Caenorhabditis elegans: one gene and its partner. The protein of the gene in region 2 purifies or fractionates together with the protein of the main gene of each other region. This does not show direct contact. Each region holds a gene or a part of one and is shown on either strand. Other genes may lie near its edges.

Evidence for each region. The genes of interacting proteins can lie anywhere in the genome.
Region 1: the proteins of R10F2.6 (region 2) and C49F8.15 fractionate together in Caenorhabditis elegans (co-fractionation; one large-scale study listed by BioGRID). This does not show direct contact.

Annotation. Positions count from the first base shown.
Region 1 is NC_003284.9:13,359,178-13,365,782, reverse strand, and holds C49F8.15 (uncharacterized protein), read left to right. Parts: upstream 1-3,196; 5' UTR 3,197-3,285; coding exon 3,286-3,360; intron 3,361-3,403; coding exon 3,404-3,511; intron 3,512-3,908; coding exon 3,909-4,097; intron 4,098-4,249; coding exon 4,250-4,471; 3' UTR 4,472-4,582; downstream 4,583-6,605. Other genes in the region: C49F8.1 (Miff domain-containing protein), read left to right, coding at 885-1,015, 1,598-1,681, 1,998-2,043.
Region 2 is NC_003281.10:2,936,769-2,947,852, reverse strand, and holds R10F2.6 (Tyrosine-protein phosphatase domain-containing protein), read left to right. Parts: upstream 1-3,757; 5' UTR 3,758-3,844; coding exon 3,845-3,881; intron 3,882-4,172; coding exon 4,173-4,379; intron 4,380-4,706; coding exon 4,707-5,087; intron 5,088-5,377; coding exon 5,378-5,611; intron 5,612-6,046; coding exon 6,047-6,213; intron 6,214-6,497; coding exon 6,498-7,086; intron 7,087-7,389; coding exon 7,390-7,568; intron 7,569-7,632; coding exon 7,633-7,840; intron 7,841-8,669; coding exon 8,670-9,071; intron 9,072-9,113; coding exon 9,114-9,273; intron 9,274-9,318; coding exon 9,319-9,655; intron 9,656-10,165; coding exon 10,166-10,750; 3' UTR 10,751-10,813; downstream 10,814-11,084. Other genes in the region: H05C05.1 (RRM domain-containing protein), read right to left, coding at 678-735; H05C05.4 (DUF2650 domain-containing protein), read left to right, coding at 1,692-1,816, 2,759-2,845, 2,916-3,027.

The DNA of each region.
Region 1 (6,605 bases), on a different chromosome or scaffold from region 2:
ACTATTAACCAAAAGTAATAAAACTTGAGTGCTCTTAGCAAAACCAATTGCTCACAAGAGTTCCCTTGTAAAGCAGTAGTTGAAGATGGGGTATCGTCATTTAAAACTGTAACGTAGCTCAATAAAAAAAAACGTACTTAATTTATAATATTTACATTTTTAGACAATAAGCTGTTAGTTAGAAACGTCTACTTACTGAATCTGAAACCTTTCCAAAAAGTGCAAAAATCTAATTTTCCTAAAGATGTGCAAAATTAAATTTTTTTGACATCACAAAAAGACAGCAAGCCAAAAAACATTTCCCAATTTAGAAAACAGGATATGCTGGCTGTTGTTTTTCAATTGACAAAACCTATAGGAAGAACGCTGAAAATTTCGTTTAAATATTTCAGAAAAGAAGGTTATAAAAGTTTTAAGTCAGTCTACAGTAATCCTGACAACAGTGATGATCTCTAATTTTACTTAGTTTTGATAGACACAAACTAAATATGTTGAACACTAAACAAAATATTCTAAACCAAAGACATTGTTCCCAGCTGAAAAGTCTGTTCACTACCGCCCCCTTTTTCCAATTTACAAGTGACAGCTTAATTTTCACCAATTTTCCAGCCAAGTTGATCTACTCAATCTTTCGCTCAGTCTGTGTTCAGCACATGAATTTTTCATTTCTCTCTTTTTCTTCTTCCTTTTTTCATTTTTTTTCGCTTCATTCCTTTTTTACTCCCCCTCCTTTTTTGCCTTTTCTTCGTTTACATTTCGCATACATTCATCCATACTTCTTTTCAAGAAACAACTTTTCCCCTTCGCCGCTCTTCTCCTTCGGAAACTGCCCCTACATATTCATCCTCATTTTTCATGCTTCCTCAGTAAGAGAGCACCACATCATGAATAGCTCTCAACGTCGCAGCATAATGTTTGGCGAAAAGGCAGTTATCGAAATGGACATCGATCCGTTTGTATCGAATCTAGACACACCTGCAGACTTGAAAGTCCCTCCGACGTATACTGGACCAATGTGAGTCTCATTTTCAGATTTAAAAATTTGTGTCAAAACATAAATGCGTAAATCGACAGTTGAACTGTAAATTCTGTAAATTAAGCGTTTTATGTATGTAATAGTTTTTCTATGAAAACCAGTGGCACCGCTCACTTTGCATTCATTTTGAAAATAATTTGTATGTATACTTCTGAAAAATCATGTTTAAAAAAATCAAAGTTCATATTTCTAAAAATTGCATTTTTCAAAACACATTAAAAACGTATCCATTAAATAAAAATATCAACTTTTAAGGAGCGCGCGTGGCAAGACCATTTTGTAGAAATGTGATCTTGTTGAAATTACTAAAAAAACAAAATAGAACACACATGGCATGACTCCGTTTCGAAAAAAAATTGTACTCAAACGCAGGGTTAAAGGATTTTAATCATCGATTGTCCCCATTCTATAACTTATTTAAACACTCTATTTCGAATATCAACCTCAAAAATCAAACCCAACACCTGTATAAACAATCGCACTTCTTGACAAGCTTAGTATTCTGAAATCATGTTCCAAAAACCTCAGATTATGCGCATATACGTAGTATTCAAGTTTCAGGCTCTCCACACAATTGGCGACGCCAACAATGAAAAAACGGGACCAAAATCAAAATACACACAGAGATGACGAGAAGAAAGAAAAGTGGGGTTTTTTAAATTGTTTAATTCAAGTTCAATAAGGGTCAGACTTGAAAAATATGTTGATATATTTTTTGTCCCTTCAAAAAAACTGTGATTTGTGAAGCTTTTCGAAACAAAAGCTTTGTGAAAATTTCCCACACTTTTTTCTCAATTTTCTTCGCGTTTTGGTGATGATTTTGGTTCAAAAGATTTTGAAACAAAAAGTATGCCTTTTGTATTTTTCCAGTAAACAAGTTTTTTATTTTTATTTTTAAGTAGCCCCGTAGAATTTTTTCAACTTTTCTATCATTAATCAATAAAGAAATCATAAATTTCAGTAATGCTACCGAGGCAGGAGAACCATCTGCCAAAAAAAGATGTTAGTTATCTGAATCTTCTCCAATATGCACAAACGTCCAACTTCCAAAGTTCTCAGCTAAATAAACTGCATTTTCATATTTCACCTTTGACTTTATAGCTCCGTTTTTTTTTCAATTCCCACACCTCCTGGTAGTATTTTCAAAATCTGGTAGATTTTCTGGTTCAGATGCTTTTGTCCTTCATTTCCAAAGATATTAGTTAGATGCTCTTTAACAATGTTTTAAAAACTGTAAATGTTACTACATCACTTCACGAGTTCTACATACTTTTCCTGTTCCCGATTTCTCAAAGAATTGTTTTTCTCATCGACATATTAATGCGAATACCGGTCTAATTATATTTGGTAGATTTTTCGTTGTCCCAGTACATTGTTTCTCACGTCGTGTCAAAAAAAAAATGAACAGTTTTTTTTAAATTGTAGTTGACAATTTCAAAACAAAATTTGCAGATTATGTACAATGTATTTTACCTGCTTTGGTTTTGACAAATGTTATACACTTCTGGTGAATTTACAATTTGAAACGCAGTAGAATAATACAGCAAATTAACATTGGAAGAGTATGCTCATTGAAAATATTTAAACATATCTCTTTTAAATTGTCGACAACAACATCTTGAAAATATGAATTTCAATGCATATTTAGTGCAATCCATTTTCAGTTTTCTATTTTATTTCTCAAAAATTCATTTTTTCTAGTTGCTTTGCTTACTGAATTTTTGCTATTAAATCTGTCCCGCATAAAAAATCGCAAGAATGTTCGAGATTTGCTAAATATCAAAAAACCAAATAATCAAGTGAAACAATGACCATTGTAATTGAAATTTTGCGGACTGATTGAGAATGACGTTTATCAAACTCATTGTTTGCAACATAAGACTACATTCACCAGGTGGAATATGAAAGGAACAGACCCTGAACTTTTTGCTCAATTGCCACAAACCACTGTTTCCTACCGGCAGACGAAGGGGACAGACTCAAACAAAATCCGTCTTGTTCTGTTTTCTGTTAAGCGACTTAAGACAGGTAAGCGCCTCTGACCACTTGCTCCCGAACAACAATCAACAAATGCGGTTGTTTGTCTTAACAGGAAGTTTGCCAGTATTCAGGCGCGAATATAAAAGGTTGGCAACCGCCTGGCAAGATCAGAGCACTTTTCACAACGAACAACAAAGTCGACTTCTAGCTACGCAGAAGTAACGATATCCAGCAAATATTAATTTTTTTCTGGCTGTAAAATTGCACCAATGTTAAAGTTCGCAGTTTTAGCAGTTTCATACCTGGCTTTTGTTGCGGCCTTCCCAACAAGTAATCAACAACAGGTATGAATATCAGTTTTCTATTTTCAGTTTTTATGATTTGCAGTACACTCAAACCGCCCAGCAATATCCTGCTCAGCAGGAGATCAAGCCATCACAGACGGTTCCTCAATTATCGGCTCACCACGGATATGTATACGGACCTCAACAAGCCGTGAGTGCCAAGAAAAATTACTGTACATTCAAATTGTAAAAAATTATACTTAATACGTAGTGCCTAATTTTTGTGCATTCGAGAAGAGTTAATTAAGATATAGCCTATTCTTAAATAGTTGGTTTAGTTTATTTTTATTTTACTTTTTAATTCGCATATATTTTTATTAACAAACACAAAAATAATAAGATAGTTCTTGCTAGAGGCATGTACACATTCAGCACTCACAATTAGTATAGTTTAGCATTGTTTGTGAACCGGTGCAGAGTGTGATCCTACGGAAGTATTTGAATTCTCAAATTCTTGCTTCATTTTTGACTGAGAACTATTCGAGATGAAAATAAGTTGTTGAGAATAGAAGAATGTTAAATTAAAATTAAAAAATTAAACGTTTCAGATGCCCCAACTTTCACAATATCCTTCTCCATCAACAGCTGCACCTGCTCCAGTTCCGGAGCAACCAACCCTCAATAATTTGCCATTAGAAGTAAAACAAAGTGCACAGACCCTCTTTAACGATCCTGACTTTCAAATGCTGGCCAGAAGCCTTCAGTCTGGAACTGGAAGCAGTGGATACAGTAATCCGGTTAGTTGCTTTAAAAATTAATTTAATAAAAAAAATCTACCCTGAAAAATCTACTTAAGTAATAGCTTCAGAGTGTCAAAAACGTTCGAATATTACCCTGACAATCTTTAATCGTAGAATGAACAATTAAATTATTTTCAAACTGATTTCAGCTATCCGCCCGCGACATTCCTCCGTGCTCTTCCGACGGCCGCTCTGTGACCATCGATCATCTCAGAATCTCTCCAGAATCACTTGTCCAAATTGCTCGTCTTGCTCAAGCGTTCGGAACGAACCCAGATTGGAAAAAGTTGCGTTTGGCTGACATGAAATCTGCATTGGGGACGCCAATGCATTCCACCCATCAGTATGCTGCACGATCTATTGGTCTCTAAATTGAAAAAGTAACATTATTTTATTTATGTATATATTCAACAATTTAAGTTATCTAACTTATTTCATTTTCATGTGTTTCTACTTTTCAAGGTATAAATACATATATCCTTATTTGCTTTTTCTGGAGAAACAAAACCATTACCAGTTTCCATTAGCTTAATAATTTACTAAATTAACTTTCAATTAAATGAGTTAGGATATACTGGTCGTCTTTGTTTTAGGAGAATACTTTAAACATACAATTCCAAAAAACTAGTGGTTTATATCTAAACATGAACCCGTAGCCCATTGAGTGAAGATTACAAAAAATTGAGAAAAATGTTCCCTTTTCTTTGAAAATACCTAGTGAAATGCATTCCTAAATTCAAACCTTAAATCACAAATCATCGTAATATTTCCGCTCTCTAGAGTGCACAATGTGATTGATAAAATATGGTCACACCAAAAATGTGCAGTGTTTGCTGATAAACCATGCTGGAACAAGTAGACTATGCGACTTCGTAATCGTCATAACGGTTGATGTCTAGCATAGTTTACCGGGTGAAAGTACATTAAATGAGAAGGAAAAATGTCATAGGTTTGGCTGGGCAAAGGGCGAACCTTGATATTGTGTTCGTGTTCGTTTTGTATGATTGGAGTAAGCATGCAATGTAAAAAATTAAATAACATTCTTTATATAATTGGAACTCTTTTGTTATAGTGGTCGATATCTAAAATGTAGTATTACGAATTTGTTTCCCAATTTGTTTCCCAACTTTATCTAACTGGCATGGTTTGTGAAAAACTTGGAAAGACTTAATTCAAGCTGCGTCCGAGTTAAGCCAAAGCTTGGCCCCCTGTTCATCGCAAAAGTTATGCATCACTTCAATTTTTTATCGTGCCCTTCCTGAACTGTCTTCCTCAAGTTTTCAATTTTCCCCATAAGAAAAATGTTGCCAATTTTATTGTATGCTGTTTTCAATCACATTTTCTCGAAAAAATCATCGATGCACTTTTTGAATTGTCAGGCGAAAAAGGTTTTCATTGCAATTTACTTCTGATACAGTACCCCGGAAGGGAGGGCTCCAAAGGTATTTGCGTGCAGATTTTTAGAAATGTGATGGCAGCTAACGCGTTTATTACACGCTGTGTGGGTTTTAAGGGTCGAGGAAAAAAGGCGAGTATACTCTCTTCATTGACGTGTCAACGTCAAAGAACGATTAAGTGGGTACAATAGCACGTGAATTGGAGAGGGTCCGTTACGTGCAATATTGTTAGAACAGTGCATCATTGGACATTCCGTTGGTTATTTCGGCGTGTTTCAATTGAAAGACCGTTATTCATATCTTATTAGGAAGCAATTCAATTTGCAAGTTTGTCGTTTTCAGGTCAACACAAACCGTGTCACGTTGCTCAAGTTGCGCTGCAATGTCATGTGAACAAGTGCAATTTTCTTAAAATAGAACTGTCACTGTTCTATTTCTAAAACTGATGTATGTATGTTACTGAACGAATTGAATCACACCATGTTTATGTAAGCAAAGATACGCTTGTTTATAATTAGTTTTTTTTTCTGAAAATCAATAGTCTGCAAATTTCGTAGTTCATAGAAGACTAGAGATATGCTCAGAAAATGGATTGTTTAGGAGAATTTAATCGTCTGTTGTCTTAGATTATTTTATTCTTTTCGAGATTTGAAGTAGTCCAAGACAATTTATTGTATTGTGTCATTAAAATTGATTCGACCATATGGAATTTGTCATAGTGCAATAATGATTTCACTATTGAAAAACGCTACATTGTTATTTTTGACATCTTAAGCAAAGTTATCAACAATTAAATGAAATTATCGAGTGTTCATAAAATTATCTGAGGATTTGCAATGACATTGAATCGTCTCCTAATGTTTCATAAATCTAATATAATCAATTTTTAATTTATGATTACTTTTTTTAACAGTTACTAATTTTGATGGCTTTTTCTGAGATTGAGATATTTAGTGTTTACTTACAAAAGGTCACACTGATTGCGCTATTTTAAGGAAATCATGGATTATTGTGACAAAAATGCTATGTGTCGACTGCTATTGGTCGACCTAACATTTCCATCAAAATTAAAATACGATTTTCATTTTCGAAAAATGTTTTGTGTGTT
Region 2 (11,084 bases):
ATTTTGCTGGAAAACTTCAATTTCCGGTAGAAAAATGTAAAAATTCCGCGTAAATTACAGCAAAATTCGAAAATTCTATAAAATTTTCAGCGTTTTCTCGTATATTTCGAGAAAAAACTGAAAAATTGGCTTTTTCTAGGGCAAAAAATCACTAAAAGCATGGATTTTAGCCTATTTTAGGTCTAAAAAAAACGTTTTTGTGAGTTTTTAGCAGCTTCCCCCGCCAAATTACAGTTTTTGGCGCTGAAAACCACGCAAAACGTGTCGAAAAAAACCATGTGGGTCTGCCGATGGGAAGACTTCGAGGAGAAAAAAGCGAACGGGCTGCCGCGGTCGGTAGGGTCGAGTTGGACACACGTGAAATACACTGGGAAATGCAGAGAATCAGACGACGAGAGCACACCGACGAGAGATCTTCGAAAATGCGTTGGAATAATCGGAGAGAGCAGAGAATCAGACGGTCCGAAGAGGGTGAGGTCATTTGGAGGAACAGAATGTGTTGGCAACTGGCCAAGTTATAAATTCCGCCGAAAAATCTGAGAAGAAATGTGAAAATTTAAAAAAAATTTGAATTAAAATGCGGAAATTACATATTTTTTCACCTAATTTTTGTGTTTTCAGCAGATTTTTCCAGTTTTTTTCGCGTTTTTTCTAATTTCAGCTTCTTAAAAACCTACTGATTGCTGGCCGATCGAGTTGCATTGCGATCAGTGATGGAATCGGCGGGGCTTCCATCGCTTCGCTTTTTCCGTCCACTTTTCGCTGTAAAAATGTCTGAAATTAGAAAAATAATGGAGAAAATTGAATTTTTCATGAAAAATGTGTGAAAAATGTGTGAAAAAACGCGAAAAAACGCGAAAAATCGATGGAAAATGAGTGAAAAATCGCGAAAAACCGGTGAAAATAAAGTGAAAAAAAATCCGCTAAAAATAGTACGGTAGACAAAGTCGTGGCGAGACCCGATTGAGGGATCAATGCATGCGCCTTTGGGTTACGGTATTTAAAATAGTATTTCCGTACTTTTTGAGGGAAGTTTTCAGATTTAAGTAATTGAAAATCTGATAAAACAAGTTTCAGAATTTTTTCCAAATTTTTTTTTCAAATTCCAATTAATTTCCAGGTTCTTCGCCGAGTTTACGACCCAACAATGGATATCGTGGCGAGACCTATCACAAAGAGTAGAGCACGCGCCTTTGGGATACGGTAGTGCAAAAATATAGATTTTTGGAGATTTAAGTGAAATTTTACAGAAAAAGCAGATTTTAAAATATTTTTCTCAATATAAATTTTGAAAAATCCAGGAAAAAAAGAATTACAGCCTGAAAAATCAAAAATTCCCCAATTTTACTGCTTTTTTTCTCCAATTTTCACTTTCCAAACAAATCCCGACGCCGGTAATTTCCGCATCCAATCGCCATATAACCACAATAATCGCCCCGTCAAGGAAAAAGTGTGGAATCGTGTGGAGACCCAGAAATAACTGAACTGGATATTTTTCGACGCGAGAGTCGATCAACTGAAACTGCCCCCCACTTTTCGCTGTTTTTTTTTGTAAAAATGGCGTAATACTTTGCCGGTCTGTGTGTGTGTCATCATCCAAATCCTTCCCCGCCCTCGATTTTACTTTTGTCGAAAAAATATTTTGATTCGCGCACTGATTCGCGCAATTCTGTATTTCCTATACCAGAAAAATGTCCAAAATTCCCGTGATTTTATTAGTTTTCGTCCCAGTTAGTGTACTTTCAACACCTTCTGTATGGTCATGTCCGTTTATGAATCCGATGATGATGATGCCCGGCATGGCGGTTGGCGAGGAGTTAGTTTTTTTGTCGTTTTTTCATCCTAAATTCAAAAAAATCGGATTCTCAATAGGGCGCAGTTGCAGCGTAAAACCTACAAAATTTAAATATTTTTAGACACACATGCGGTTTGATCTACAAAAAATGCGGGATTTTTTCCCTGAGGAAAATGTGACGTCAGCACACTTTTAACCGTGCGAAATCAGTTGAAAAGTCTCCTTCTCTTCTCCCGCATTTTCGAAGATCAAACCAAAATGGGACATTCTGACACCTCGATTTTTATCGATTTTCTATCGATTAAAAAATACAAATTAATCGAATTCTCATTAGAGCGCGCCTGCAACAAACCCAAATTTCGAAATTCACAGTCAAATTTATTGATTTTTCCTTTAAAAGTCGATTTAACTCCTATTTTTCATGCTGAATTTCTGTTAAAGTAGCAAAAATCAGCCAATATACCTCTGAAATTTAAAATTTTCAAACGAATCTGCGTTGCAAGCGCGCTCTAATGATAATTTTGAAGTTTTGACGCTTTTCTTATAGTTTTCGACTCAAAATCGTTCATTTTTCGAATTTGTGAAGTGAAATTAGTCAAAAACGAGCAATTTTCATTCGAAAAGTTCAATTTTTTCGAAATGTGTGTTGCAAACTCGCTCTAATGAGAAATTTAACGAGAAATCGAGTGATTAGTTGATTGTCCAAGTAATAATTAGTTAAAACAGTTATTACCACTGAAAACTTCAATTTTTTCTGCTACACAAGTGCCAGGCTGTCCCATTAAGGTTTGATCTACAAAAAATGCGGGAAGTTTTCGCCTAAAAATGTGACGTCAGCATGTGAGACGAGTTGAGAACTCTGCCACCACGTGCAAGTGCGCTCCATTGAGAATTTCAAGTTTTTTCCCGAAAAATTGCGCGCGGAATTCAAAATTTTTAAGAATTTTCTTGTTTTTTTTCCAGCTGTCCAACGGATTCCTTCGTCCATTACTACTCCTGTTGTGACGACAATCCATTCCAATGCTGTTTCCATTTCGAAACATGGGCTATGTAAGCATTTTTCCCCTTGATGGCCTAGTTTTCACCTCGGCCACCACGACGTCTAAAAATCGATTTTCAGCGTAATTTTCGGGATCATCGGGCTTTTTATAATTGTGAGCAGCCTATTCATTGCCGGAAAACTGCTAATGGCTCCAAATTCGTCGAAAAATGTGCAAAATGGACGAGTTTAAGCTGGAAATCTTCTATGTTTATGTATTTATTGATGTGATTTATTGATTTATTGCTTTATTGATTTTTATACGGAAAATTGTAAAAATGATTTTTTTTGTCATCTTAAAAATTGAATAAAAACGTGAAATTTATTTTTTTTTATTTTGAAAAAAAATTGCTTTCCAAAAGTTAAAAAAAATAGATTTTTGATTTATTCCTCATATCAATATCGTTTATTATCATATCAAAATTTTCAAAAACGAAATGGATCCCATATTCCAGCTTGGTGACGTGGAAAATTGTGAGTTTGCGGCGAAAGGAAAGTGCGCTCTATTGAGAATTCATCAATGTTGAGGGTCGTCTCGTAATTTTCGAGTAAAAATCGATTCAAATATTGATCTTTTTTGTAAAACTTGTTAAGAACAGCCAAAAATCAGCAAGTTCTATCGAAAACTGACAGAAAAATATTTTGGGAGCAAACGCGCTCTAACGACAATTTCAGGAATCTTGTGGTGTTTTTTTGAATTTCTGAGTGAAAATTAGTCTGATATCATATCTGATTATTGATTATAACGAGAAAACTTGTAGAAAATCTTGCAAAATTCAAAATTCTGCAGTGTCGCAAGCGCGCTCTATAGATAATTAATGGGTTTATTGATTTTTGTACGGAAAAATTTTAAAATAATTGTTTTTGTCATCTTAAAAATTGAATAAAAACGTGAAATTTATTTTTTTCTATTTTGAAAAAATTGCTTTCCAAAAGTTAAAAAAAATCGATTTTTGATTTATTCCTCATATCAATTTCGTTTATCATCATATCAAATTTTCAAAAACGAAATGAATCCCATATTCCAGCTTGGTGACGTGGAAAATTGTGAGTTTTCAGCGAAAGGGAAGTGCGCTCTATTGAGAATTCAACAATTTTTAGGGTTCAGGTAAAAAATCGATTATTGACTTTTATCGATTTTTCTTGCAACTCAATAAAAACAGCCGAAATCATTAAAAAAGTAACTGTGTGCAAGGGCGCTCCAGCGACAATTACATGATATTTATCGATTTTCGCCAGAAAATAAGGCAAAAATTTGAATTTGTGGTGTTGCAAGCGCGCTCTATTTGGAATTTCAGCAATTTTGAAGATTTTTCTTTGAGAATATTAATCTTTCAGCACACCAAAATGTTGCTGAAAGAGCAGAAGCTGGAAAAATGATCGCTCACAAATCTCCTGTAAAAACCAAAAAATTGCGGAAAAAACGAGAAAAATCGGATAACCTTGTGGCGTCATCTGATGAAGAAGTGGAAAAATCGATAAATTCTGGAAAATGGATTAGATTGAAAGTCAAAAAGCAATCGACTGGGGGAGAAAAACACTTAGGTGAGACTGCAGAATTGTAGGCCTTAAAATTTGCAACATTTTGTTAGTTGGAATTATAGCTCCATTCTCAGCGGAGATATACGTCTTTGAAGCTGAGCGAAGGAGAGAGCGTGGGAGGAGGAGAGACGCAGGCGGCGCGTACACACTGCGTCTCTCCCCCTCCCACACTCTCTCGCTCTTCTCACTTCAAGTGAGGATATCTCCGCGGGGAGGAGAGCTAGAAAAAAATTTTCAACCAAGATAATGTGCAGAATTTAACGTAGAATATTTCACTAGTTGATAATTTTTTGATATCTCTTTTAGTTGCAAGGATTTTTCAATTTTCAGCGGCTATTTCCAAGAATGAAGCAACTTTCGAGGTTTCTGAAGACGCAAATTTCAAAAAAATCAACGAGGACATTCAAAATCTCAAATCCGAGTTCGGAATCCATCCAAGATGGGATGAGGAGCTGCTCCACGCGATGCCAAGCACCATTCAATTCGAGGAGTGTTTGATAATTGCTAGACGGGTCAAAGCTCTGTCGAAGAAACTTGGAAATGAGCCAGGTATCTTTGTCAGGCACATCCCGGAGCATCTTAGAGTTCTTCTGGAAACTGACGATGAGTCACCTGACGAGGAGGAGCTCGACGAGCAGGAGATTCAAATGGTTTTTGATGACTTGGAACGCCGGCAGAGTGGCATTTTCTACGAAAACGATGAGGATGAAGGTACAATTTTAGATATTCTGCCCGTTTGCCGCGTAGTTATCAGCTCTCAAAGTTTAATAGCTTAGGGTGGGGGAGACGCAGGAAGCGCGCTCGTCTGCGTCTCCCCTCTCTCACTTCAAAATGGCTATATATCTGCTCGGGGAGAAGAGGTATCAAAACTCTGTTAACTGAGCAAATATAGAGAATTTCAAGAGCTACATTTTGTTAGTTGAAAATTTTTTGATACATGAATTCCCCGCCAAGATTTTGACGTTTTTATGAAATAATCCAAATAATTGAGTATTTTCCAGAAGCCCAGCTCCCGTTGCTCCAAGCTCCGCCCCTTGTGAGCTTCTCCGACATTCCCACTGCTCCCAGTCCAAAGGCCAAAGTTGGATCACGTTGTTACAAGGAGGGTCCCTTATTCGACGCAGAACAAGCACCGAACTTCAAATACTCGGAAATTGAAACTGATTGCTCTGTCTACTCGATCTCTTCGGAGACTTTATTGGCCAATGTTGGAGAGGTGTACAAGATCCGCGAAGGTTTGTGAATTTTTGATGAAATTTCCGATATTTCGTTAGTTGACAGCTTTTTGATAACTCTATTCCCCGCAGAGATACGAGCGCTCAAAGTTAGAAGGAAGAGAGAGTGTGGGAGAATGAGAGATTGTGCGCGTGCGTGCGCTCTGCGCCTCCCCTCCTCCCACGCTGTCTCACGTCCTCTAACTTCAAACGCGTATATCTCCGCGAGGATTGAAGCCATTGAAAAATTTCCAACTACCGATTTGGATAGAATTTCAAGGGCTTTTCATTTTCTTCGTTTAATTCATTTATATAATTTAGTATAACTCTGCAGGCATTAGCGTTTTCAAAAAGTTATCAACTAACAAAATGTAGGCAATTGCACGAGCTATATTTTACTCTTTGAAACTTTTCCAATATCTCAGCGCCGAACTAAGATATGAAGTTTTTTTTCAGATGACCCCCGTCATCGTGTCAAACGTCGTTGGCCCATTGTTGAGAAGACCGCCACAGGGAGGCCATTCAATTTGAGCAAACATTTTGCGAATGAGTTCGAGAGCGAGGAGGACGGAAGCTGTTTCACTGATACCACGTTTTCTCTCAACGAAGGCAATAAATTCATGGTAAGTTAGTGATAGCCCTTAAAATTTCCTACAATTCGCTAGTTGACAGTTTTTTGATAGCTCTCTTCCTCGCAGAGATACACCCCTGCAAAGATAGAGAACGAGAGAGTTTGGAGGGGAGGGAGACGCAGTGTGCGCGCTGTCTGCGTCTCTCCCCCTCCCACACTGTTTCACTGCCTCCAACTTCAAGCGCGTGTATCTTTGCGGAGGGGCAAGCTATCGAAAAATTGTTAACTAACAAAATGTAGGAAATTTTAAGCGCTACAAATTGAAACTATTTTCAGAAAAATCTCGCCACCTGGAACCTAGATGATCCTGAAATTGTGACCGGATTCCCCAGTCAGATCCTTGTTCCATCACTGCCGACTCTTCCAGGACCACAAGCTGCAAAGAAACATTTCCAGAGAATTCAAAATTCTGGTTATTGGAGAAGTTATGTTCTGAAAGAAAAATCAGATTATGGTGCATCGGAAACTTCTCTGGAAGAGCCACGATTTGTAGCCGGAAAGGATACAAAAAAGAGCAAGGAGAAGGATCCTCCTTCTGCTCCACCTCGTCCACCCAAAAACCTTGCCCTTGAAGCTCGACCGGCTCGCTGGGTGCCAATTCCAGCCAAACGTCCACGTGGAGAGACAAAAATTGACGACTTGGGTCGAATCTGGGATGTTCCACCGGCTGACGAAGCCAATAAACTCAAAGATCTGCCACGTCAAGAGGAGGCGAATCTCATGTGGGTACCATTTCGTGACGTCAAGCCACCGTATCTTCACGACGGGTCGGATGATTTAAGAAGCATCAACTCACAGAGTTTGTCGAGTCAGTCGGATGTGACAGATTGGATGGACGAGACGAGAAGTGACGTCACGATGTCTGGTAAGAATCACCCGCGGTAGTTCTTCCTGAAGCAGCGATTTCACGTGGATTCAGAAAGTCCCATTTCGCTTTGATCTTTGAAAAATGCGGGGGGAAGAGACGCAGACATCTCATCTGATTTCGCATGGTTGAGAGCGTGCTGACGTCACAATTTTCTGGAAAAATATTCCCGCATTTTTCGTAGATCAAACCGCACGTGCGATTTGCGGAAAATTTGTCGAGTTTGCCGAGATTTTCCGCACACCCCTGGGCCGAAGCTCGGCCGCTAATTCCCCCCTGTAACATCTCCGATTAAAATTTCAGAATCCGAATGGAAAGGCGACCAAGAACTCGCAGAGCCTGTGGGATTCCTGAACCGACATGAAGTTTGGAAGAAGAACCAGTACAAGTGGGCTCTGAAGAATCGACTCAATTTGGCAGGATATCGAGATGAGGATCAATTTGATCGAATGGCAAGACGAGAGCATCAGAAACATGAGGACGTGAGCATTCGAGAATCTTTTTCAATTTAGTGCTTTTTTTTCTTGATATTTTTACCATTTTTAGCAGACTGATAAATCCGAAGAAGCGGAAAAGAAAATGAAGATCAAGGCCGACTTGGCTGCAAAGGAGATATGGGATAAAAACATGGAGCACAACGTGGATGAAATACTTATGAAACGTGTCAATCGTGTCGAGATGTGCCGTATTCAAATGGCATTGCAGAATCTGGATCAGAAGTTGGTGGATCAGGAGAAGGAATCCAGAAAACCATGTAAGTTTTCAAACGACTATAGCTCAGAGAAGAGCTCTAAAAATTGCGCGGATAAGAGAAATACTGAAAATTTAATGGGCTTCTGGCCTCCCTCATGTTTTTCGCGCTCCATCGGCACTCGCCTGTTGGACAACGTGTGGGAAAATGTGTGCTCTACTGAAAACCGAGCCGCGACGCGACATGCTACGCGCCGTAAATCGACCCCGGCTGTGGCCGTGCACGGGGCTACGTAGATCTACGAGAATTGCGGGAAATTAGACTCTGACTTCTCATCTGATTTCGCATGCTGACGTCACTTTTTTTTTGAGAAAAAAAAATCCCGCATTTTTCGTAGATCAAACCGTAATGGGACAACCTAACACCACGTGACATTTTAAAATGTGAGCCAATTTTTGGATTGCCCAAATCTCTACAAAGATATAAGGGTTTAAACACACTCCCACGCACTTTTTTGTTTTAAACTAATATATCTCTGTTGACAGAAGACATATTGAAAAGTTGTCAACTGAGAAACTATTGAAAATTTTACGAGCTACATTTGGACAGTTAACAACTTTTTGATTACTCGAGTCTCCGCTGAGATATAGACGTCTAAAGTTTAAAGAAGCAACGAAGTGGTGGGACCGTGTCTAGGTGTCATATTCTTCTTTGTAGCTCAGTTCAGAAAAGAGTTATTAAAAAATTGTCAAATAATAAAATATTGAAAATATTACGAGCTATATTTTGTCAGTTGTCAACTTTTTGATTTCTCGAATCTCCGCCGAGATATAGACGTTTGAAGTGAACCCACACACTCCTTTGATTTCTAAAAAAAACCAAAAATTTTCAGTGGACAACGCTAGAAAGTACGTTGAGGAGTCATACTGCAACCACCCATCCGAAGAGATGGCCATCACTCAAATCGCGTTCGAGTCCGTCGACAAAATCGACAACTACATTCAATCGTGCTGTCAGGACCGCTGGGAGCACCTTTATCGTTGCTCCTCGCCACGCTACACACACGACTGGGCCCGAGTCCGAATGAGCTCGGATCAGCCGGACGACTGTGACTTTTATGACGCGTGTCACGTGTTTCCGTGGCAAGAGGTGTTTGAGAAGGTGGCACACAAGTACAAGAACAAGTTGATTTGCGCCTCGTCGCCGATGTACAATGTGACGGTTGGAATCTTGTGGCATTGGTTGTTCGAGAATGATGTCAAGTACGTGGTGATGCTTAATCAGTTCCTTGAAAGTGAGTTTTCTGAGATGTTCCGATTGTTAAGCTTCTGTTCAGAAGGACTTCAAGCTTCGGAAGTGTGGTTCCCACTGGTCAAAGGAGAAAAAGCGAGATTCCGCCGAAATGCATACAGAGAGTACATCGTCGAGTGCACCGACGTCAAAAAGAAGTACAAGGCGGCAGGGATTCAGAGACTTGTCAAGGTCACCTTAGTCCAGTGAGTTGCCTGCCAATGGCCACACTTCTAATCAATATATTCCAGCAATCACCAGGTAATCGAGACAAAACAGATGAAGATCCTGCATATGCTCGAATGGGATCAAGATTGTCTCCCCGAAAATTGGCAGCCGTACGTTAGAATTTGCGAGAGAATGAATCGAGAATCTCTGCATCATCCGGTGGTGGTGATGAGCAAGCACGGCAGTGGACGAGCGATGACACTGATTCTGTCACTGATGGCTGCGGTGATGGCTCGTCTGGATGATGATCTTAGCATCCATTCCATGTGTCAGTCGGGAAGAGCTTCAAAGCGTCAATCGATCACTTGCTGCAATCAGGTCTACTTTTGGAGGATGGTTCATTATGAGTTATTGTTCAGAGTGAGTTTATTTTAGACTCAAGCTTAGGCTTAGGCTTAGGCTTGGGCTGAGATGTAGGTTTAGGCTTAGGCTTTGACTTTAGCTTAGATAGGCTTAGGCTTAGGTATAGGCTCTGGCTTAGGCTTATGTTCAGGCTTGGACATAGATTTAGGCTTAGGCTTAGGCTTAGGCTGAGGTTTAGGCTTAGGCTTAGGCTTAGGCTCAGGCTTATGCTTCGGCTTAGGCTCCAGCTCAGGCTTACGCTCAGGCTTAGGCTCAGGCTAAGGCCTAGGCCTAGACTTAATCTTTGGCTTAGGTTTAGGCTTAGGCTTAGGTTTAGGTGTAGCCTCAGGCTTAGGCTCAAGATTAGGTTCTGGCTTAGATTATTTTTTTAAATTTAACAAAAACCTTTAAAAGTGAGCAAATTGTGTTGTCGATTCATATTTTAGTTAGTTATCCCATTATAAATTACTGTGACACCCCAGATTGGGAACTCCAACTTACTTAAAAAAAAACTTGCCAAATTTTCAGTGGTTCAAGCCCCTCCGCGAGCTACGTGTCCGTATGCCTGAACGTCTCGAAGCCTACCAAGACGTTGTTATTGCTCAGCAGAAAGACTACCTACAACTCGAAGCCCGTCACTGGGCCACGTACTTTGAATATGAGATGGAGCGGTTCATCCGAATGGAGTATATGGTGGAACATGTTCAGAAGCAGCGGGATGGTGATCGACACGAGATGCGGGAGCTTCGAAAAACCGACAGGCTTCATCAAGCGATGACTGCAAGTGAGGAGAGGGATGAGAGAAGTCCGTACTTTGACGGAAAGCCCATTCGTCGCAAGCCGTTGCGTCTAGGTGATAAGCCAAGGGATCCGAAACGTCCAAAAAGACAATACGTGAAGCGCGAGGACTTTTTGCCTGAACATGAGCTTTACTCGGCGCTTGAAATGGAGCCAATGATCAGTGGATATCAAATTAGTGGAGCGTATCGTTGGGTGAAGCCGAGTGAGATGAAGAAAGTGTTCACGGAGAAGATTGAGATTCCCCAGAACTGGAAGTGTTGGTATACGAAGGAGGAACAGAAGGGTATGCTGGCTAAGGAGACGACATACTAGGATTTTGATGACTTATTGTATTGATTTTTTTTTCTGGATTTGAATAAAGAGAGCTTTGAAATATGGGAAAAATGCTAATTTGAACGAGGAGCAACGGTTCAGAAATTCAGAAAGTTTATTGTAAGGAAGAAATAATACAATTGGTATTAAATAAGAAATTTGCAATGTTTGGCCATTCACATTTCTGTTCCGAGATGTGCTCTGGGATGCTCCGGCAACGATACGAGCATTCCCAGCTTCTACAATGTTTTTGGTAATCTTAGGCATCACGAGGTTTTCACAACATCATTGGAATCGTGATCGTGCATGAGGAACTTTGTTTCCCGCCTGAAAA